Linked DNA regions of Elephas maximus indicus. The main gene of each other region encodes a partner of the protein of the gene in region 2 in a complex. Links are inferred from orthologs where the notes say so. Each region holds a gene or a part of one and is shown on either strand. Other genes may lie near its edges.

What was found. The genes of interacting proteins can lie anywhere in the genome.
Region 1: EIF4A3 (region 2) and MAGOHB share a complex: the UniProt entries of both Homo sapiens proteins name them as parts of the mRNA splicing-dependent exon junction complex. The link is inferred for Elephas maximus indicus from reciprocal best matches to the Homo sapiens genes EIF4A3 and MAGOHB.

What each region holds. Positions count from the first base shown.
Region 1 is NC_064822.1:69,353,947-69,365,397, forward strand, and holds the start of MAGOHB (protein mago nashi homolog 2), read right to left. Parts: upstream 4,359-11,451; 5' UTR 4,293-4,358; coding exon 4,199-4,292; intron 1,826-4,198; coding exon 1,767-1,825; intron 903-1,766; coding exon 792-902; intron 1-791. Other genes in the region: tyrosine-protein kinase STYK1, read right to left, coding at 10,873-11,077. UniProt on the Homo sapiens protein: Required for pre-mRNA splicing as component of the spliceosome. Plays a redundant role with MAGOH in the exon junction complex and in the nonsense-mediated decay (NMD) pathway.
Region 2 is NC_064837.1:70,015,057-70,026,446, reverse strand, and holds the start of EIF4A3 (eukaryotic initiation factor 4A-III), read left to right. Parts: upstream 1-6,479; 5' UTR 6,480-6,570; coding exon 6,571-6,739; intron 6,740-10,709; coding exon 10,710-10,782; intron 10,783-11,390. UniProt on the Homo sapiens protein: ATP-dependent RNA helicase. Involved in pre-mRNA splicing as component of the spliceosome. Core component of the splicing-dependent multiprotein exon junction complex (EJC) deposited at splice junctions on mRNAs.

The DNA.
Region 1 (11,451 bases), on a different chromosome or scaffold from region 2:
AATGTATAAAATAAATACATTAACTATTACCTTTGCTTTCCTAAATAATGTTTCTTTAAAGAGAAAAGTTACTGCTACAGAGTGTCAGCATCTGTTAGATTTCTCCACATTTTCTTCTAGTCAAAGAAGGTGATATAAGGTATAATCCTCAAGAACAGACAAAAGTGAAATTAAAGATTTCTTCCTTCCAGGGGTCGTATCTCATTTCTCCAAGAGTTGAAAAGACCCAATTCAGAAAGCAAACTGCATTTCTATAGAATGAAATTAGGCCTTCAGAGTTCTTCAGAAGCCCTTTGAGAAACATCAATTATTCTGAAGGGAATATGAGAGGCAAAGAACAAAGAAACCAATCAAATTCTTCTCTGGGACATAATAATGCAAATAAGAATTCTAAAAGTTATAAATTTGGGGAAAGTGAACTTCACATAGTCAATTAAAATTATAAGTCTAGAACTGACAAACAACACTTGTACTTACTCCTAATAAAAGCAGTTAACATACAATAGAAACTATTCATAATTGTGAAAATATCCTAATTTTAGCTAGGTAGCTATGATGAAGATTATCCAGAAAGATCTCTAAATTTACAGCTATACATTGACTCCTTTCTACTATGATGTAGCATGGAAAATGAATCTAAATGAAATAAAATTCTAAAATAATTATCAGGTGCCTACTAAATGTAAAATCAAGACCCAGGGAAGACTCATTCTAAATAAATAAGGTGAAACATAACAATTACATTGCCAATTTTTAATATTTATACATTTAAAGAATTATTAAACACTAACCTGTCGGCCAACCCTGTCAGGGGGAGGCCATAAAGCATCATCTTCTTTGGTAATTTCACTGTCGTCAATAATTCTCTTCAGTTCTTCCATTACACTCTTGTGTACATAAGCCTGAAAATAAGTTATAATAAAAATTTCATGCTTGACTATTTCTTCCTACTACTCAGAAAGAAATGATTAAAAGGAGTTACAAACCCTGAATATTCAAATATAATATTATAGAAAATTTTAATTCTGATTTCAAACTTACAGGATGGGAATCATTCGTTCTCCATATGTTATTTTTTTTCACTCTTTACCCTTTCTTCTAGTACATATTTTTCCTTCTTCTCATCACTAAACCAAAAACAAACCAAACTCATTGCTGTCCAGCAGATTCCGACTCATAGCCATTCTATAGGACAGAGTAGAACTGCCCATAGAGTCTCCAAGGAGCAGTTGGTGGATATGAACTGCCGACCTTTTGGGTAGTAGCTGAGCTCTTAACCACTGCACCACCATGGCTCCAATCACTAGCCGGTTTTAATACACTATATTCCATCTTTGAAACATGGGGACTTATATATCTCAGAGTATAAATGGTGACAGTACAAAGTCTATGAGGTAAAGAGAGATAAATACCAAACACATACCAGTTACTGCTTTGAACTTTTTCACACCTCATTTTGAGTCTTTAATTTAAAATGTATACTATTTTTAAATCATGTTCATTAATTGGCTTTAGGTAGCAAATAAAAAACAAAATTAATTATAAAATAAATTGGATGATATGTTCAAATGTGGGACTATAACTTAATATATCCAGGTAGCTTCTTTTGTTGTTAGAGATGCTACAATTATATCTAATTTAATTGAATCATTTTTCAATCTATAAATTGGCTTCTTCTTTACAAACAGCCTCAGATGTACTTTTGTTAATTCAACAAACATGAGGAAAATGGACTAAATGTAAAAAAACACACACAAAAAACTTACCTCTTTTCTGATCATAACATCATTTTTGTAATTGCTGTTGTTGGCATATCTAAGCTTTCCTATGGAAAGTGGAAAAAAATTCAATCCATAACAGTAAAAACTGCTAAAAAATAAATGATACTGTAAGCAATTTTTATATCACATTAGCATTTCCTCCCTCCTAGTGTAAGATCATGGCAACCCCATTTGTGTCAGAGTAGAACTGTCCTCCACTAGGTTTTCAATGGCTGATATTTGGGAAGTAGATCGCTGGGCCTTTCTTCCGAGGCACTACTGCTGAACCCAAACCACCAGTCTTTCGGTTGACAGCCCAGCGCCATCACCATGAATAAGAACAGACTTGAAGGCAACTGCTAACTGGTGTATAAGATCAATGTTAGACATAGAGACACTCAATAAATATTTGTTGTTAAGTTGGTAGAAGGTGAAGCTAGTCAAATTTTTTAATATTCCATGCCTACACTATATAATATGAAGGTCATTTTTAAGGCCCATTTTCTTAAGCTATGTCATGAACTGGAAAAGAAATCTGAAAAAGGAACTAATATATCTTTTTAAGTTTATGTTATATATCTGTATTGGTGCTAAGTGTTTTACCTAAAGCATCTATTCTAATGGTAAAAACAACCCTAAGTAGTAGATTTTATTATCCCTATTCATTTTTTTTTTTTTTTTTTATTCATTAGTAAGAAAGCAGTTAAGTAACCTGCCCAGGATCATACAAGGTTCATATCTAGACCTACTGTCTTCCAGTACTCATGCTTTTTCCACTACTCCAAAACATTTTCTTTTAATTATTTCCCTTCAAATTAATGTACATGATTACAGCAATAGTAATGTTTTAGTACTGTGACAAGCAAGCATACAAATTCTGTTCTGGCTCTGGATAAAAGATTACCAGTTTGTTAGCTGATTTATATTTAATTTTAAACCATCATGACTTTTGTACTCTCTGATAAATCGTTCTCCTCACAGCCAGTCAGTTGTCCAGGTACAGACGTAATGTGGTCCTGACCCTCTAAAATAATAGGGTGCCCTAGTGCAACGGGTTTGTGTGCGTGTGTGTGTGTGTGTGTTTTTAGGGGGGGTTAGTGATGTGTACCCCTTAGAAATTGTCTGTGACCCACTACTATTGATGGAAGTATGTGGTACAGTGTGGTGGAAGATAAAGGGATGAGAACCACTGTTCCGGCATAAAATTTCCCTGATACGTCAGGGTACTTAATTTATTTGACTGGCTAAAAAGGCGTATGGACAAGCTGGATGATGTTCACAGGTGAGGGGAATGAAAATAGCATCACATAAGAAAAGCTCAGATGAAGAATTCAGGTATATTTAACTCCTTAACCAAATTTAGAAAAGACATGCAGATGACAGGGTAAATGAGGTGATTTAGGTTTCTAAATAACAGCAGGGCTGTAGATACCTTGATTTCCACCTGAAATGCCTGATACTCTTCCCCTTTCCTAGTATGTGATCCTCTCTCTAATTTTTCTTTCATATTCTCAAAGAACTTTGTCCAAAGCATATCCACACTGCTTTATGGTTAATTTCACGTCTGTTTCCCACTCAAGCATAACTCTTTGAGGGAAATTAAAGACTCTTACTCTTTACTGAATCCTTAGTTTTCTATTTATCATTTTCCCAGCACATAATATGCACTCCAAAAGAAAATCTATTCAGTTGAACCGTCCTTGTTGCAGGTGGATAGAGTTCAATATACAATAATGCTCTCTCTATAGTCAGAGCTGTCAAAAGACACAATTTGCTACACATTACATGGCAACAGGCAGCTTCACCTTGCCCTCTGTTCATTCTGTTCTCCCAGTCTGACTACCTTTTTTCCTCAGAGAACATGAAATACCTAAGCCTATTTCAAGATTCAGTTCAAGGGTCACCTCCTCTAGGAAGTTTTCCTTGACTGCCTCATGTAGAATTAACCACTCCCCCTTTTGTACTCCTAATGCACCCGGTGGTAAACAACTCTATTTAAGCACCCAAAACACATCACCACACTTATTTGTTCCCACATCGGCCTAAACCCTTCAGAACTGGTCTCATTCTCTTTCTAGACCTGCTGCCTTACACACACTGCTCAATCAATGAATGGGTAGTCCGGAAGTTATCGATCACCAGTTAAGATCTTAAGCATCCACCGGTCCACTGCTTGGTGGGGTGTTACAAATGTTCAAGTATTAGGTCTTTAAAGCAGCTGGCCTTAAGATGCCTTCCGGCGCACTGATTTCAGGATGCTGATTACCTTAGGTTCTAAGCTCCCATTTGTTTCGGCTCAAGCAGTAGCCTGTGTTCGCAACGTACACTCCAGGCCCACCGAGGCTCTCTTGCTCCACCCCACCTCCCTTATTCTCCGCTGCATCTCCGCCTCGCCTCCCTTAGCCCAGCACCCCGCCAGCTGCCCCTCCTCGGCTCACCGTCTGGTCGAAACTCGAACTCCAGGAACTCGTGCCCAAACTTGCCCTTGTGCCCTACGTAGTAGCGCAGGTAAAAATCGCTAGCCATAGCCATTTTCGCGCCTGGTAAGCCCTCCGAAGTCCTGGAAACGGGCCTCCCGGCGCCTGACAGTGACGTCAAGCGGCCCAGAATAAGCGCGTCACTGCGGCAGCCACGATTCTTCCGCCAGCGCTTCTGATCCCCGAGGAAAGCACGGAGGGAGGTTAGGAGTGACGTGAACGTCGCCTCCTGACGTTTGGAAGCACGTTAAAATAAAAATTAAGTGATTCCATTATATTAGCAGAGGACAAAGTGTAAAAAAACATAACGGCATTTTTGTGTGGGCTTAGAACTGAGATTTACAAGTCGGTTTTAATTTTTGTGTATTAAATTCTCACCGTGCAATCCATGGGTGGTGCATGCAAGCGTTACCGCCAGAAGTTGGAGGCTCCAGTTCACCCAGAGGCGCCTCAGAAGAAAGGCTTGGAGATCTACTTCTTTAAAAATCAGCCATCGAAAACTGTACGGGGCCCAGTTCTATCCTCATGGGGTCTCGTGAGTCAGGATAACCTCCAGGGAAACTGGTAGATCTCAGTGACAGGCCTGTGAAGTGGGCATGGCTTTTTTGCCATTTTAATTTGTGAAGTGAGTAAAGCTAAAGCCCAGAATCCGAGTGGGAGACCTGGAATACGTCCATTTCTCCTGCCTGATTTCAAGCACGGGGCTTTCTTTAAACAACGATTGCTGGTATCAGACAGCTAGAAGACTATAATAATAAACACAAAATGGAAGGAATCCATCAGAGGAAGAGGTCTGAAGTTTTGAAAGGCACATTGAAACTAAAACTCCTTGACCGTATAGAAGAGTTATTTTTTAATATCAAAAACTTATAATGTGCTTCATTCCATATTTAAGGGTTAACCTCTAGTGTCCTACAGAGTTTTGGCAATTTGACTTAAGATCAAGTAATGATTTAGCCCACGTTTCTCATCAGATAAATTGAATTGGGGAAGTGAACAAAGAGAAGGATGAGGAAAGACAGAGCGAGCTTTTACACAGTCTGTTTTTCAAATATTATTGATCACTCTTCTGTTACCAGCAGAGTAATTCTGTGTGTTAAATGATCCCATAACCCTCAGCAGGGTTTAGTAGAAAGAGTAGCGCTCAGAAAACCTAAGAGTTACCCAAATACTGCCACTATTTAACCTTGTCAAGTCAGTGTCTCTAAGCCTGTTTGTTCATTAACCAAGTGGATATACCACAATCGACTGTGAAGCTCACGGAATTGTTAAGAGAATCAAATAACGTATGTAAAATAAGCTTTGAAATATATAAAGCATGCCCCATGTGCCAGAAATGGTGGACACAGGAAATAAAAAGAGCCTTTTGCATTTATAGTCTAGAAAAGAAAACAAGCATATAGACAAATACTAGCACAAGACAGCAAATGCTGTAATGAAGAATATGTAAAAAATGCTGGCAGTACAGGAGAGGAAGCAAGTCATTCTAGTGAAGAGTAGGGGAAATTGAAGAAATGGGCATATCAAGGAAGGCTTGTAAAAAAAAAAGGTGCTATTTGAATTGGACCGTGGCAAATGTTCAGAGGGATGGAAGAGCATTCCAGGCACAGAATGTGCTCAGCAAAGTCAGTGGTGTGAAAATACATGTTTTGGGAAAACCAGCACATAGCTAGAATGTAAGATTCATGGAAGTGAAACGACTAGAAACGCAGACTGGGCCAGGTTATATTCAGCCTTACAAATAAAGCGTTATTACATAACTGTTAATATAGACAAATTACTCCTTACTATTTTTTTTTTTATAGGCCACCATGTTGGTTGTCAGCTGCCATCACGTTGGCATCACCACGCACAAAGGAACGAAACACACTGCCCGTTCCTGAGCCGTTCCATAATCAGGTGCAGATCCGACCTCTGTGATCCACAGAGTTTTCATTGGCTGCTTTTCAGAAGTAGATCACCAGGCCTTTCTTCCCAGTCCATCTTAGTCTGGAATTTTCACTGAAACCTGTTCAGCATCATAACAACACTTCAAGCCTCTACTGAAAAACAGGTGGCGGCTGCACAGGAGGTGCGTTAGCCAGTTACCAAACCCAGGTCTCCCACATGGAAGAGGAGAATTCTATCACTGCACCATCAATACCCTCAAAATATTCCTTAGTATCTCTGAAAATACAGACTGTGATCCATTTGGTTTGTTTTTTGGTGAAAAATGAAATCATTCCTACTTCCAATCTTCAGAATCATCTTCTACTTTCCTATGATAAATACTAGAAATGATAGCCTTTCATTTTCATTTGTTTATTTTATCTGTAATTTTTTACTAATTTTTATTTTGTACTTGCTTACAGAACAAAAATTGTCTCATTCAGTCAAAGGACCTGAGGAGTAAGCCAAGAATATTTTATGGTCTAAAATTAACTCTTTATATTTTAATGCCAAAAGACTTGTCACTTGAATCATGATAAGAATTGCAAAATGGTAAAGTATTTGTGTTTTGGGATCTTCTAGGATGTCATACAGCAGTGATGTGGAAATTTTCCATATGGCTACAAAGCACTGAAATGTGGTTAGGGACTGAGGAGCTGAATTTTTATTTTTACATATTATTAAATTTTATTAATTTAAGTTAATACTTACATAGCCAAACATGGCTAGTTGCTACTATGCTGGACAATCCAGTTATAGAAGACCCTTTTCAAACATTCTTACTTGGGCTGGAAGTAGTAAAAATATTTTGTGAATGTTAATCTCAGTTGCCATAGGCTTCAAATTAGGGCACAATTACTAATATCACCACAGTTTATTTATGTAAATAAATGTTTGGGCTGCTTTCATGAAGCCAAATGAAGTCTTTTCTTTGGACTACCATTACCTCGTTTGCTAATACAACCTATGTGTACTCAGCTTCAAAGTACCCTCTGACATAGGTAAAAAGTAAACATTTTATTGTCAGCTTCACTTGAAATTGAGGCTCAATGATTCAGGCAAATACACAAAACTCATTGACAAAATAATGATGCCCCAGGAAAGTTTTTAAAAGTTTATTGCTTTCAGCTTCATCGTGATTAATCAAGTCAGGAGGCTACGGGCAGAGATGGTTCTTATACCAGTTAATTTAATATTTAAAATGTTCTACTGATTTTTCCTACAGCTAAAATTCTCTCTTCCTTTGACCTCTCTTTCATATCCCCTTTGTCTTCACACCTTTTTTTGCCTCTATTTAAAATTATCAAGAGGAAGCCCTGGTGGCGCAGTGAGTGGTTAAAGCGCTCAACCGCTAAATCATTCCTACTTCCAATCTTCAGACATCTTCTAACTTTCCTACAATAAACACTAGAAGTGATAGCCTTTCATTTTCATTTGTTTACTTTATCTGTAATTTTTTAATAGTTTTTATTTTGCACTTGCTTGTAAGCAAGTACAAAAATTGTCTCCTTCAGTTAAAGGACCAGAGGAATAAGCCAAGAATATTTTATGGTCTAAAGCAGTATTTTAAGGTGGTTTCTTTTTATTTTATTTGTAATGCCAGAATGGCATGGTCTATTTCAGTCTTTTTCCATCACTTACCTTTCTCTTCTCTTTTCTACAATAGACTTCCTTGTGGAATTTTAACCAGAATATTTTTTTAACCACTCAGTGGTATTAATTTTTTAATAAGAGAACTTCCAAAATTTCCACACCATTGTTTTTCAGGTAAGTTCATACATGGTGAGTACTTGGAGCTATTTCTAGGTCCTTTTTCATGACAGGATAATATATTTAATTCCATTTTTCAAATTAAGAATTCTTTCCCAGTATATGACAATATTATATGTTTCTAACGCATACATAACCACTAACTCTTATGTCCAAAACAAAAACGGCCTGTTAAATTAAGCATAATAGGCTATCTTCCCAATTTACCATTATCTTTGCTACTTGTTTATTTGTTAAAATGAGTTATGATAAAGCAACAATGTAAGAAAAATTATTACGGCAAGGTTACAATTGAGAAAATTCTACCCATTAACTTACTTTTTCTTTTAAATGTTAAAAAAAAATTATAATTCAGTTTTAACAAAATACCCAAATCCAGCGTGAAAATCACTAGTACTCTGCCTGAGCCTGATTGAAAACTACTGGTTCAAATGATTCCAAGTTAAATGATATTGTCAAGTTCCCAGTGTGACACTGTATCCAGGTGATGTTGGAAATTTCTTATCAATAAAGTATTTTTGTTGTTTTTAGTTGAGGGGGTTATCAAAGCAATAAAAGAAATACCTAATTTGGCTGCCTGGTCAAAGACGCCAGAATTAGAATTCCAGAAATAAAATCTTCCTTTTGGAAAAAGCCTGGCCACCTAAGGAAAAGACCATTTTCTTAGAGTAAGCAATTGCTGTATCCAGTTTCCCAGACCTATAAAACTAGGGATAAAACTTTAAAATAATAGGTGTCTGCTTCTTTCCCTATTACCAAAATAAATATGAACGGACAGTATGAAAGAGCAGTGCCCCATTGTATCTTGTGCCGCCTGCCCATGAACTCACACTTACCTCTTTGCAGTTCCTCAAACAACTGTGCTTTTTCTTGCCCAAAGGTTTTTAACACATATAGTCTTTCTCCCAGTTCTCCTTTCTTTATCTGGCTTCCTTACTCATCCCTAAGGTTTCATTTTACATGCCACTTCTTCAGGAAGGTCCCCATCTCATACTCCCTTCATTTATCCCTTTTTTCAGAGCACTTACCACAACTGCTAATTAACAAATACCCATACAAGTAAATATATAATGTATCTCTAACCTTCTAAACTATAATCAAAACTGCTCTGTTTCTTGTATCCAACACCCATCACAGTGTCCAGTACAGTGGGCCCTACTAATACATTTTTAAAAGAATATTTGAATAAATAAATGCTCTGTGAATTTGATTTAAATGAACTGCTGAGAGCCAACAACGAGATTCCGCAGGACTTTATCGTGTGCTATGCCACTCTCCCTCCTTTTTCCTTCTGCCACTTGCCACCTTTTAAATCGTTGTGACATTAAGTCCTTGTGGTACCCCCACAGCTGCAAGTGTCATTATTCAGTTAGCTGACTCGTCATGACTCCAGCAGGATTCCAACTTCTACAAAATTTTCCACTGCCAGGCATCTTTCCTATAGCCATCTTAGATGTCACTCCCAGGCTACGCAGAGTATTGTTTAGAAGCACAGATCAACCGAATTGCCATTACTACAATATTTTCAATACTTTGAAGGAGTAGAAGACTACTATCACCATCCAGAAGCTCACATAAAAAGGATGACATCATCATTTTGTTCATGTGGTATTTGTACCATCCCATTATCTTCAGGAATGTCCTGGCTTGCAATGTAGCTGACAGACTGAGGTTTTCAGACCCAATAGATTTTAAATGAAAAATATATGAAAAGTTCGGGAACAGGAAGGGACAAAGAAAGAAAAATTATATTTATTGAGCACGTATGTGCCAGATGCTGTATAAATACTCTCTATCCTCACAACAACCCTGTGAGGTAAGTAATATATCCATTTTACACATGCAGAGTCTCTTTTCTGACAGTGGAGAGTGTCTCTGGAATTCTTCCAGTGGCATTAACTTCTATTAATTTACTTTTATCATCTCTATTGTAGAGATTAAGGCAGCTGTATGCCAGAAAAGTCTATAGTCACTCAATAAATATTAGTTTAATGAAATAAGTTTCATAACACATAAATGGATGACTCAAAATTAGAAGATACAACCCTTCTTTCTCAGACTACATCCTTCTCTAGCCCTTATGAAAAACCTTTCGAGATAAAGCTTTCTTGCTTGGTTTCCATGTTTGCTGTTTATTAAACAAACACACACAAAGCATTTGCATTACTGATTAAACTTTGACTTTCTAGGCTCAGTCTCCTTAGTCTTACAGGGACTAAGAAGCTAGCCTGATGAGCAATATATATCCAATGTTCTTATTCATAAATCAACTCCTCCAGCTTCCAGTTAGAAGCAGTACCAACAGTTCACCTTTCTCAGAAAGAAAGGGATTACTTTCACCTGTGCTCAAGGGGAAGCTCAAAAGTTTTCCTCCATTGTTCTCCTCCCATCCTATGTGATGAGACCAGGAGTGGAGAATTTTATGTCCTTCCTTCATTGTCTCTTTGAAGGATGGACTTGGTCCATACCTATACTCCCAAGCAGATAGAACTTTTAATTTCCTTTCTCTTCAACTCCTTATTGACTTCCAATTGTGTCATTTGATTCTAATTGCTCTAGACTTCATAATAGTCTAGATAAAAGCATGTTTCAGGAGGACACTAGTCTGGGGTGGGAGAAAACCAGCTTATTTGTGTCATGCCCCAACAACATTGCAGATTTCCAAAACCTCCTCTATCACCACTTCTATTTTGGGTCTTTAATGGAGTCTTGAGAATTGGGACAGCAGAAATGAGATTAAAAATATTTCTCAGCCTCAAGGATATGGTGTGTTGAGCCTGAGCCAACATCATTTCAGGTTTCTAGAGGAATTTGTAGGGGAAGACCTTGTCCCATCTCTCCCTTCACGCTCCCCTAGAAAGTCCATTATCAGTTCTTGGAGGAATTGGTTCCGAGAGGATATGATCAGACGTAAATGTTTCTTGCCTGGAGGGTCCTCAAAGGATGGTGTAGTTGTAGTGGAGGCTGTCCACGCTGATGCCGGCCACATCTGCGTACAGTTCAGGCACCACTAACTCTGGTACTTGCAACACAGCCTTGTCATTTGCAGTTCGAGCAGCAGCTTCTAGGCGCAAGCGTAGATCTCTAGGTGAGGGGCGGCTGTCTTCACTCCAGCGCCAGCAGGACTTCATAAGGTTATACCTGAAAGGGAAACCAGAGAAACTGACTTCCTTGGCAAGGCAAATGTATGAGCAACACGTCTCCTCTCCCAATAAACCTTAACAAAAAAGCCTGCAAGTCCAATTGTTTCATCTACTTCTCTTTGCTCTGTCTCTCATATACTAATAATTCTAATTTTCATTTTCTTAATATCAAGTCTCTTAACTTTATTAACACCCAAACCCCAAAACCCATTGCCATCGAGTCGACTCATCACAATCCTGTGTGACAGAGTAGAACTTTCCCATAGGGTTTCAGGCTGTAATCCTTATGGAGGCAGATTACCACACCTTTCTCCCAAGGAGAGGCTGGCAGGTTCAAACCACCAGCCTCTCAGTTAGCAGGCGAGCACTTTA
Region 2 (11,390 bases):
TTGGAAATAGAACACTGGGCCTTTCTTCCTAGTCTGTCTGCAAGTTCTCCTGAAAACTGTCCACGACGGGTGACTCTGCTGGTATGTGAAATACCAGTGGCATAGCTTCCAGCATCATAGCAACACGCAAGCCACCACAGTAGGACAAACTGACAGATGGGTGGTGGCCCTGTAGGTACAAGTCAGGCCTATAAAAGGGAACTCCCAAGAATAGGAGTTTAGATGAGGAAGACAACCCCAACCCATCGCCCTGCTGTGGGCAGGAACTGGATGGAAGATCAGGATATGTACACAGGAGCATTATGATTCTTCGCTCTTGTAACTAGTGATTGGAAAGACTCCAGGACTTCTTCCACAACATTCTAAATGGGTTCCCAACCACCTGAGTGAGTGTCTCAGGTGGGGCCGGGTGGAGCTCTGGGGCTTGTCTTCTTCCCTGACCTGGGGGTTCCAGCTCCACACCCAGCTCCAGCCCCCACCACGGCTCTTCTACCGCAGGAAAACAGGAGGAGCCCAGCCCTGGCAGCAAGATGGTGAGTGGGGTGAGGAAGAGCAGGAAGAGGCTATTTCCAGAAGAGCTGGTAGAACGGGTCACTCCCTGCTGCTGCTCACTCCCGAGCAAGGGACTGAGCGAGCACCACCCTCATGCACACAGCTGCCCACCTGCCACCTCTCAGGTGCAGACTAGCTAAGTCAGACCTGGAGTCCCTGGGAGGTGCACATGATGGAGGCACTCAGCTGCTACCTGGAAGGCTGGGGGGTCGAGTCCATCCGGAGGCACTTTGGAGGACAGGCCTGGTGATCTACTTCTGAAAAATCAACTGATGAAGACCCTATGGAACACAGTTCTACTCTGACACAGATGGGGTCACCATGAGTTGGAATTGACTTCAGGACAACTGGTTAATGATTTTGCTCCAAAGCCATCATGACACTGTTACCCATGCCTTCCCCATCCCATAATGGTGCACCCAACTGCTCATACTGGAAACCCAGGAGTAATCTTCATACTCCTCGAACCCTAACCACCTGTCCATTCCATCCATCAGCCCTGTTGATCTCTCCCCTGGCGCCATCTCCATGTGACAACTCAAACAGCTGCCACCATGTCTCCAGCTGGGCTTCTTGCCCCCTCTTGCACCCCACACTCCATCCTCAACCACACAGCCAGGGGAGCTTTCTACCTGTTTACCAAAAGCCACCCTCCCCCTTCCCGCTACAGATTGAATTGCATGTCCTAAAAAGATAATCTGAAGCTGTAGGCCCTCCTACCTGTAAACGTGACCCTGTTTGGAAATAGGGTCTTTGAAGATGTAGCAGTCAGGTTAATATAAGGTAATATGGAGTAAGATGGTCTTAAAGCCATGGTATTTTCAATCGCATCTTATGCATGTGAAAGCTGGACGATGAATAAGGAAGACCGAAGAATTGACGCCTCTGAATTGTGTGTTGGCGAAGAATATTGAATATACCATGGACTGCCAAAAGAACGGATGAATCTGTCTTGAAGAGTACTACCAGAATGCTCCTTAGAGGCAAGGATGGCGAGACTGCATCTTACATACTTTGGACATGTTGTTAGGAGGGATCAGTCCCTGGAGAAGGACGTCGTGCTTGGTAAAGGACAGGGTCAGCGGAAAAGAGGAAGACCCTCAAACAGGTGGATTGATACAGTGGCTGCAACAATGAGCTCAAGCGTAACGACGACTGTAAGGATGGCGCAGGACTGGGCAGTGTTTCGTTCTGTTGTGCATAAGGTCACTATGAGTCGGAACTGATTCGACAACGGCACCTAACAACAACAACAATCCCATGTGACTGGCGTTCTTATAAAAGAGGAGAAGAGACAGGAGACAGAGGAAGGATGCCATGTTATGATGCTGCAGCTGCAGTCAAGGAAGGACTGCGGCTACCAGAAGCCAGGAAAGAGGCGGGAACAGATTCTTCCTCAGAGCCCCAGAAGCAATCAGTGTGGCCAACACCCTGATCTTGGACTCTCGACCTCCAGAACTGTGAGAGAATAAACCTTTTTTTGTTTTTTTAAAACAATTAATTTATTGAGACAAGAAATTCCTGTTCTTGTAAGCCACCCACTTTGTAGTATTTTGTTATGGCAGCCCTATAGGGTCACTATGAGTTGGAATCAGCTTGACAGCAATGGGTTTGCTTGTTTTGGGTTTAGGGAACTAATACAACCCCTCCTCCCAAAGAGGTGGTGGGGCGGGGGAACACCACCAAGTGGCTCATACAGCAACCATGATGAAATGTAAACTCCATTTTATAGGCTATAAAATCTTTTATGATCAGGCCCTGCTCACTTTTCCCTTACTCCCTGATGCCCCCACCCAATCTTCCCACATTCACTATGCCACAACCCTCTGGGTGTATGTCCCGTCTCATGCCTGTCTCCAGGTCTTTGTACCCATGGCTCCTTCTGTTTGGAACACTCTGTCCACCACCCCTCAAGTCAACCTTCCTCCAGCCACCTGGATAAACTGACTACCCAGTTCCTCTCTTCCACTTCACCTTATTGCCTTTTCTCCCCCGTAATTATGGAACCTGCAGCAATCTTATTTGTTTGGGTGCTTTGTCAGTCTTGCCCTACACTGGAATGTATGTGCTGTGAGGGAAGGTGCCGTCCGTCTGGTTCACCGCTGAGTCCAGCATCCAGGACAGCGCCTGCTCAATGGGTCACTGTTGCCTGGATGGTTGACCTACGCGAGGGCCAAAACCAAAACCAAACTTGTTGCCATCGAGTCGATTCTGACTCATGGCAATCCCACGTGTTACCAGGTAGAGCTGCTCCATAGGGTTTTCTTGGCTGCAATCTTCACTGAAGCAGATCGCTAGACCTCTCTTCCGCAGCACTGCTGGGTGGGTTCAAACGCCAGCCTTTCAATTAGTCATTGAGGACAAACCATTTGTTCCACCCAGTGACCTCATGCAAGTGCAGGAGTGCAGAAGTTGGGGCAGAAGCAAGGTGGGTTCAGTCAGTGCCTTGTAAGGTGCCCACCCCAGCCAGATGGGTTTAGAGAGGGCTGAGCCTAGAAAGGAACAGTGTTTGTCCTTCAACACCCCGTGGTGGGCAGGGACCTATGGCAGGAAGTCATGCAGTGGGGACATCTTCTGGGGTCAAGGTTACTTCTATCTAGGGCATCACCTCGTGCAGTGATGACTCATGCAAAACGCAGCGCAGAGAGCAGCACTACACTCAAATCTTTGCTGCTTCTGGACAGGACCAGCCACCTTAACCTTCTCCACCAGATCCCAAGAGTCAACATGGATACAGGAAAAGAGACAGCCAGCTCTTGAGAGGTGGAGCCACGTGGCTATTCCCGCTTTGCCCACAGCCCCTGTGTGTGTTCACGAAGTTCCTGAGGCAGTGCCCTGTATCCCCCCTTCCTCTCGCCCTGTGCATCACACAGTCAGCAAGCCAAAAAGCATTTACTGAGTACTAGTGTATGCTATCTGGATCATAACAAATTATGGATAATATTGCAAAGAATGGGAATTCCAGAACACTTAACTGTGCTCACATGAAACATATACATAGACCAAGAGGCAGTCATTTGAACAGAACCAGGGGATACTGCATTGTTTAAAATCAGGAAGGGTGTGCATCAGAGTTATATCCTTTCGCCACAGTTATTCAATTTGCATGCCGAGCAAATGATCTGAGAAGCTGGACTATATGAAGAAGAACAGCGCATCAGGATTGGAGGAAGACTCATTAACAACCTGCGTTATGCAGATGACACAACCTTGCTTGCTGAAAGTGAAGAGGACCTGAAGCACTTACTGATGAAGATCAAAGACCACAGCCTTCAGTGTGGATTACACCTCAACATAAAGAAAACAAAATCCTCACAGCTCCAATAAGCAACATCATGATAAACGGAGAGAAGACTGAAGTTGTCGAGGATTTCATTTTACTTGGATCCACAATCAACACCCATGGAAGCAGCAGTCAAGAAATCAAATGATGTATTGCATTGAGCAAATCTACTGCAAAAGACCTCTTTAAAGTGTTAAAAAGCAAAGATGTCACTTTAAGGATGAAGGTGCTCCTGACCCAAGCCATGGTATTCTTAATTGCCTTATACGCATGTGAAAGCTGGACAGTAAATAAGGAAGACTGACTAAGAATTGATGCCTTTGAATCATGGTGTTGGTGAAGAATATTGAATATACTATGGACTTCCAGAAGAACAAACAAATCTGTCTTGGAAGAAGTACAGCCAGAATGCTCTTTAGAAGCAAGGATGATGAGATTTTGTCTCATGTACTTTGGACATGTTATCAGGAGGGACCAGTTCCTTGAGAAAGACATCATGCTTGGTAAAGAGAGTTGGTGAAAAAGACGAAGACCCTCAACGAGATGGATTGACACAGTTTCTGTAACAATGGGCTCACACATAATGATTGTGAGGACAGCACAGGATTGGGCAGTGTTTCATTCGGTTGTACATAAGGCTGCTATGAGTCAGAACTGACTGGAAGGCACCTGGAATGGTTACAGTTTTGTGCCAACTTGGCTGGTACATGATTCTCAGTGGTTTGGGAGCTATGATGTAGTATGGTATTTGTATGATGTAGTCACCTCCATGATGAGATCTGATACGATATGATCATCTCCGTGATGGGATCTGCTGTAAGTAGCCAATCAGTTGAAAGGGAGCTTCCTTGGGGGTGTGCCTTATGTTCAATATATGTGGACTTTCTGGCAAAGCTCACTGGTTTTTGCTCTTCCCTGGACCCTGCATTCAGCTCATCAGTATCTGACCTCCAGTTCTTGGGACTTGGGCCAGCAGCCTGCTCTTACCTGCCGATCTTGGATTCATCTTACCTGCCAATCTCGGATTTATCAGCCCCTGCAGCTACGTGAGTCAGAAGCAACCAGCCTGACCCATAGACTTGGGACATTCCAGCCTCTACAACCATAAGGGCCATTTCCTTGAGATAAATCTCTCTCACTCTCTATATTTATAATATATGTATGTACGTGTGTGTGTGCTTCATTGGTTTTCCTTCTCTAGAGAACCCAGCCTAAGACAGCACCTAACAACTCTATGCTTGGGACACAATGGTGAGCAACACATACCCGGTCCTTGTCCTCCTGACTTTAGTCTAATCAGGTGAGACACCTCCTGCCCCTCGAAAAATATAAGCTGTGTGGAGAGTGAGGGGCAAGAGACAGAGAAGGTGCTGAGCCTGAACATAATGGGTAAGTCCACTTCAGTGACCCGGGTGTCTGTTGCTCTTGAGACATCAAGGAGGCTGGGATGAATGGCCCAGGGGTAACAAGCAGAATAAATCCATGCTTAGGGAACTCAGAGCTAGAAGTTCGTATAGTAGAAAACAGATCTTTTATTTTTGTCATCACTCAAGACAGATGGGTCTGAGTAATTGTGGGGAGAATAGGGCCCTTCTCAAAAGAAGAGGGTTTTTCTATGAACAAACGGTACCCTCAAAGGACACATACTATACAATCCCACTTATAGGAAATATCTAGAATCAGCAGATGCATACAGACAGAAGCAGATTAGTGGTTACCAGGAGCTGGGCAGGCAGAATGGGAGTTACGACTGAAGGGGTAGTTTCTGCTCGGGGTGATGAAAAAGCTTTGGAAACAAATAGTGGTGACAGTTCCACAACAGGGCGAATGTAATTAATGCCACTGAATGGTATAGTGAAAAGGGAGCTCTGGAAGATGAACCCTCTAGGTTGGAGGGCACTCCTAACACAGCGGCCCCAACAACGGACTTGAACAAATCAACGGTCAAAAAGATGGCGGAGAATCGAGCAACGTTTTGTTGGCTCAACAGCAACTAAACTCTGGTAGGAGCTTTCATCAGTCGCATTAGGAGATTAAAAAATGGCAACATAACCAGAGTTGACAAAAGGCAGTTTAAAAACTCAAAAAGTTTCCGAATGTCAGCGATTTGAAATATGGATTTCCATCTGGCTTTGGTAATAATTTCACACGGTGAGATATTAGCCAGTAATAACATCAGCCTAAAACGTATAAACGAGTAAATATACATATTTTAGAGAGTCATACTCAAATTATTTCCGCTCAAGGCGGAATCACCGGGAGACCCTGCCTAAGTGCCCGGGTGCCGACCCTCTGCCTGACTCCAGGGTCTCCAGTCTCACGCCGACTCGCGGCTGCCATACGTAGTGACCGTAATTTAGGGCAATTTCACCCTGCAGCTCGGGTAAGCCCACTAACGCGACCCTGCCCCACCTTGGGTAGGAATGTACCCACAACACACTCGCGCCGGGCACCGCCAGGCCCACTTCCTGCAGCCTCCGAGCCACTTGTACTGCCTCTTTCCGCGAGATCTCCAGAGCGCGCGAGAACAGCGACTCCGCCCCTTTCACGTGACCGAGAGCGCCCCGCCCCTCGCAGGCGCGGCCCGGTTCCGCGTTCGTACGCACGCACGCACAGGCAGGCGCGAGCGGTGGCGTCACTTCCTGTCGGAGGCCGCAGCGGGTCTTTGCTTCCGTTTGCCGCCTCGGACCAGCCGCCGTCGCAGCGCGCCCGCTCGTCTTTGCTCACTCGCAATCATGGCGGCCACGGCCACGATGGCGACCTCGGGCTCCGCGCGGAAGCGGCTGCTCAAAGAAGAAGACATGACCAAGGTGGAGTTCGAGACGAGCGAGGAGGTGGACGTGACGCCCACGTTCGACACCATGGGCCTACGGGAGGACTTGCTGCGCGGCATCTACGCCTACGGTGAGCGGCCGCGGGGCGCACGGGGGGCTGGCGCGCTGCGGAGCGGAGCGGAGCGGGGGCACTAGGGCGGACGGGCCTTCCGGACCTGCCCCAGAGGTCGGGGTCGGGGGTCGGGACTCGGGACGCGCGATTCCACGCCCCCAGCGCGTCCGCCAGCAGCGTCGGTGTCGGTTCACACAGTTCTCAGTGCTGAGCGCCGTGCTCGGTCCAGTAAGCACCTCACAGCCGTTCTGGGTGCATTGCACCCACTAGGTGTTAGGCCGGAGTCCTGGTGGCGCATTGGTTAAGCGCTCGGACGCTAACGGAAAAGTCGGCGGTTCTGACCCACCAGCTACTCCGCGGGAGAAAGATGTAGCAGTCTGCTTCTGTCAAGATTTCAGCCTTGGGAAGCTTATGGAGGCGGTTCTTCGCTGCCCCGTAGAGTCGTTATCAGTCAAAATAGACTCAGTGTGGCAAAGAATTTTTTTCTAGTTTTAGGTGTCAGGCAAAGAACTGGGGGCGCAGTGGTTAAGCGCTCGGCTGCTAACTGAAAGACCAGCGGCTTTTTGGAAGAAAGGCCTGGCGATGTGCTCCGGTAAACAGTGCAGCCTAGGAAACCCTGTGGGACAGCCCCACTCTGGCGCATGGGGTCGCTATGAGCAGAAATTGACTCCACAGCACCCAGCAACAGCAAGTGTTAGGCAACAGGCGCCAATGTAGGCTTTGGGGAGGTGGAGAAGCAGACACGTTCCCACGTCAGGGGGCTTTAATTGTATCTGTGAGAGGGACAATAACTGAAGCTATTTCAGACAGTTGTAATTGCTGTGAAGAACATAAAGCTGGGTGATTGACTAGGGAGTGACTGGGGGAGGGGAGGGGAGGGCAGTTTTAGTCAAAAAAGAGAAGATAGGTAAGAGGTCTCCAGCAGGAGGTGACACTTAAGGTGTGGCCTGAGTTGAGGAGCCGGCCGTGAGGAGACTGCTTGTGGAAGAGCATTCCCAGCAGAGGGCACAGCCGGTGCCAGGCCCAGAAGCCTGACTGAGGCCAGTGTTCCAGGAACAGAAGGGAGCCCAGGGGTGAGTTTGGAGAGGTAGTCGGGGCAGTTGTGGAGAGCATTGTGTGATGTGATAGAGAGCTTGAATTTAATTTAGGAGAGCATTCTGAATGTTCTGGGAGTTGGGGGGGTAAGGTAGGCGTGGAAGCAGGGGATGAGTTAGGAAGCTTTTGTTCCAGTCCCTGTGAGAGGTGATGGTGTTGTCACGGAGACAGAGAAGACCAGTAGAGCCAATGTGACTGGATTCGCTAATGGAGTGAATGTAAGTGGCAGAGGGCAAGAGGACTCGAGCTTGATTCCTCGGTGTTTTGAGGAACAGGGTGGATGATGGTGCCACTTGCCTAGGTGGGGAACCCTTGAGGGAGGCAGAACTGGGGATGCTGTCTTGGATGTGGGGACCTTGAGAGGCCTAGGATCCATCCATTGGGGTGTTGGGTGGGCTGTTGTCTGTGCAAGTTTGGAGCCCAGGACAGAGGTCAGGGTGGGCATGTGGATATGAGTTATCAGTGAACAAGGTAGGTGGTCTGTTTTCAAAGCATGGGACCGAGACGTGTTTTATCCAGACTGTTTTCAGCGACATGACACCAATCAGACGGTGAAGAGGCAGAGCTGAGGCCCCGGGGTGAAAGGGCAGCATTGCAGCAGGGCCTGTGCTGAGGCTGACTGCTGTGCAGTAGATTGCTTTTACATGGCTTTTTTTTCATGGTCTTAGGAGGTGCCTTCGAATTGGTTTTGACTCGTAGCCACCGTGTGTACAATAAAGCAAAACACTGCTTGGTCTCGTAACTCCCACCAAATGATCGGGTGGAACTATGCAAATGAGTTGCTAGTGGCCCACCAAGGGGATTGGATAGCTTGCTAATAATGCAAATAAAGTGCATGGCATCCTTGTGTGTGGGGGGGGGACCATGCAAATAAAGTGTATAGAACCCTAACAAGGGGATTGGTCAGTTTTTTCCATCTCGCTAGGCTTAAAATGAGCCATCCCAGAGGCAGAAAGGGGGGGACGTCACTACCACCAAGAAGGGATGAGCGTGGAATCTGTTCCTTGGACCCAGGATCACTGCTCTGAGAACCTCCTAGACTCAGGAGACAGAACTGTAATGTGAGGGACAGCAGGAAGTGGTGGCAGAGAAATGGCAGCAGCAGAACCACGAGGTAGAATGAGATGGCGCAGTGGCCTTACCAGCCCACAGAGTTAGGCAGTTACAGTGGGTGCGCTGGCCAGTGGAGCAAGAAAGCTGGGGAGCACCTTTGGGCCTGGCTTGCTGGTGGATTGGGGTGTCCCCGGGCAGTTATTGGCGGAGCTAAAGAGCTTTGTAACACTTACCCAAGTGGGGCAGGAAGGCCAGGCGGAGGCCTGCCTCTGGGCATGGCTAAGAATATACTGTCCTGATGGAAGAACTGTATCCTGAGTCATTGTTCCTGATCCTGAATTGTAACCTGGTACTTCTCTAACAAACTCCTTAACTGTGAGTATGGTCTGTGAGTTCTGTGTGGCTATTGCAGCGAATTATCAAACCCAGCAGAGAAGTAGAGGGTGCACTGGGAGGGACAGCTGGTGTCAGTATTGGTAAAAAGGTTGGACAGAGGAGGTACGTTTGACCTCCACATCATAGGAATCAGCCTTGGGCTGTTGATCTTGATTCTCCTTCCCCCTTGTGAAGTTAGAGGAGGTCAGAAGCCCCCGCTGTGCCATTTTTACAGTTATGTTTCCTGTCAGTCTCTTGGTTCTGCTGCTGCTTCTCAACATCTTGCCCTTCTCCAGTGTCAGCTCTCTCTCTCTCTCTCTCTGTCTCCTGAATCTAGGAGGTTCTCAACACAGGGACCCTGGGCTGAAGGATGTGCTCTGTTCCGCTCCCATCTCTTCTTGTTGGTGGTAGTGAGCCCCACCCCACTTCCTGCCTATGGAATGGTTCGTTTTAAGCCTAGTGGGATGGCAAAACTGACCAGTCCCCTCGTTAGGATTCCATACACTTTATTTGCATGGTCCCACCCCCTTTGAGAATGCCTTGCGTTACTAGCAATCTACCCAATCCCGTTGGTGGGCCACAAGCACTTTATTTGCATAAGCCCATCGATTCATTTTCTGGGAGTTAGAAGACCGTGGTGAGGAGGGCCATGTCGAAGTGAGCCATCACACTGTACTGACCAACCACCTGCCTCTTGTTGCTCAGGGCACCCTGGCTCTGAAGCACTGATTAGTTTCTCAGTGATGTCCTTGGTCATCATGGGGGGCTTAAATGACCTGTTATATTTGCTTTTATGTTAAGATGTGAAATTGTACTATGTTTTAAAAGACTCCTGAAAAATAACTAGAGTTTTGTATATGAAAACCAATCCTGTGCTGTTGGGTTGATTCCAACTCACAGCGATCCTATAGAACAGAGTAGAACTGCCCTGTAGGGTTTCCAAGGGTGTGATCTTTATGGGAGCGGACTGCCACATCTTTCTCCCATGGAGTGGCTGGTGGGTTTGAGCCTCCGGCCTTTCAGTTAGCAGCCAAGCACTTTAATCACTGCATCACCATGGCTTCTTGAGTAAAAAGTAAGCCCCTCCCCCCATGCCCCTCTCCAGGGCTAACCACCAATGACATTTGGTGCCCATACTTCCAGATATTGCACCCGCAAGAAATTTTATCTTTACCCAAATCCATGGTCTCTGTATTTTCTGCAACTTGATGTTCCCTTTACAGAGACTTCGTATAAGTAGTCTACCATGCTAGTTTAAAAACCTTCCGCAGCCTGAGTCATTCGGCCACTTACTTTTGTGAGCTTACTGTGTTGCTCACTGGGTTAGGTTGGGGTGTTGGTGGGGTTGGCGGCAGCAAAACAAAAAGAAAGATAAACCGTCTCTGCCCTCGAGGAGTTTACAGTAGATGCCTGTAAACCTGCTGGCATGAAGGTTAGAGTTAATTTTTTGGGCTCTTGTTCGCAGGTTTTGAGAAACCATCAGCAATCCAACAGCGAGCCATCAAGCAGATAATTAAAGGAAGAGATGTCATTGCACAGTAAGTCTGTGTACTTGCACAGAGAGAAGTGGGGCATCAGTTAGCAAAACAAACGATAGTTACGTGCTTCGTGTTTTTATTTTTTTTTCGTACTTTCTGCCAGCTCTTTCCTTGACTTTATAACTGCAGGGTTTGCTTGTGGCCTCTACTGTAGAAGCCTTTAGTTTTTTTAGCCGGCTTTACTTAGCTGTCAGTTGGCATGTGGAATTGTATCTCATACTCTAATTTTAAATAGCTTTATTCCTAGTTTGCCTCGTTTTAAAAGAGACTTATTTACCCCCCCCCAAAAAAATTTTTTTTAGGGGACAATTTTAGTTCAAAATCATAGAAAAGAACTGTTTATACAAAAAGGAGGCCTCCTTTTTCTGTGACCTGTAAAACACCTATTGAAGCTACAGAATCTGCCCAAGGCCCCCTATGCAAGAGCCACATCAGTTGTCCTGATCACCTCTGGACAGATGTCCCACCCCATCCCATGATGAAGGTGCTGTTGGCCTGTGCTGGGACATCTGCTCAGAGGAGGCTGCCGTGTCTTTCTGAAGCCCACTGTCCCTGTGCAGCACTGGGAGGGCCGGGCGTGAGGGACGACAGGTACAACCCATGCTTCC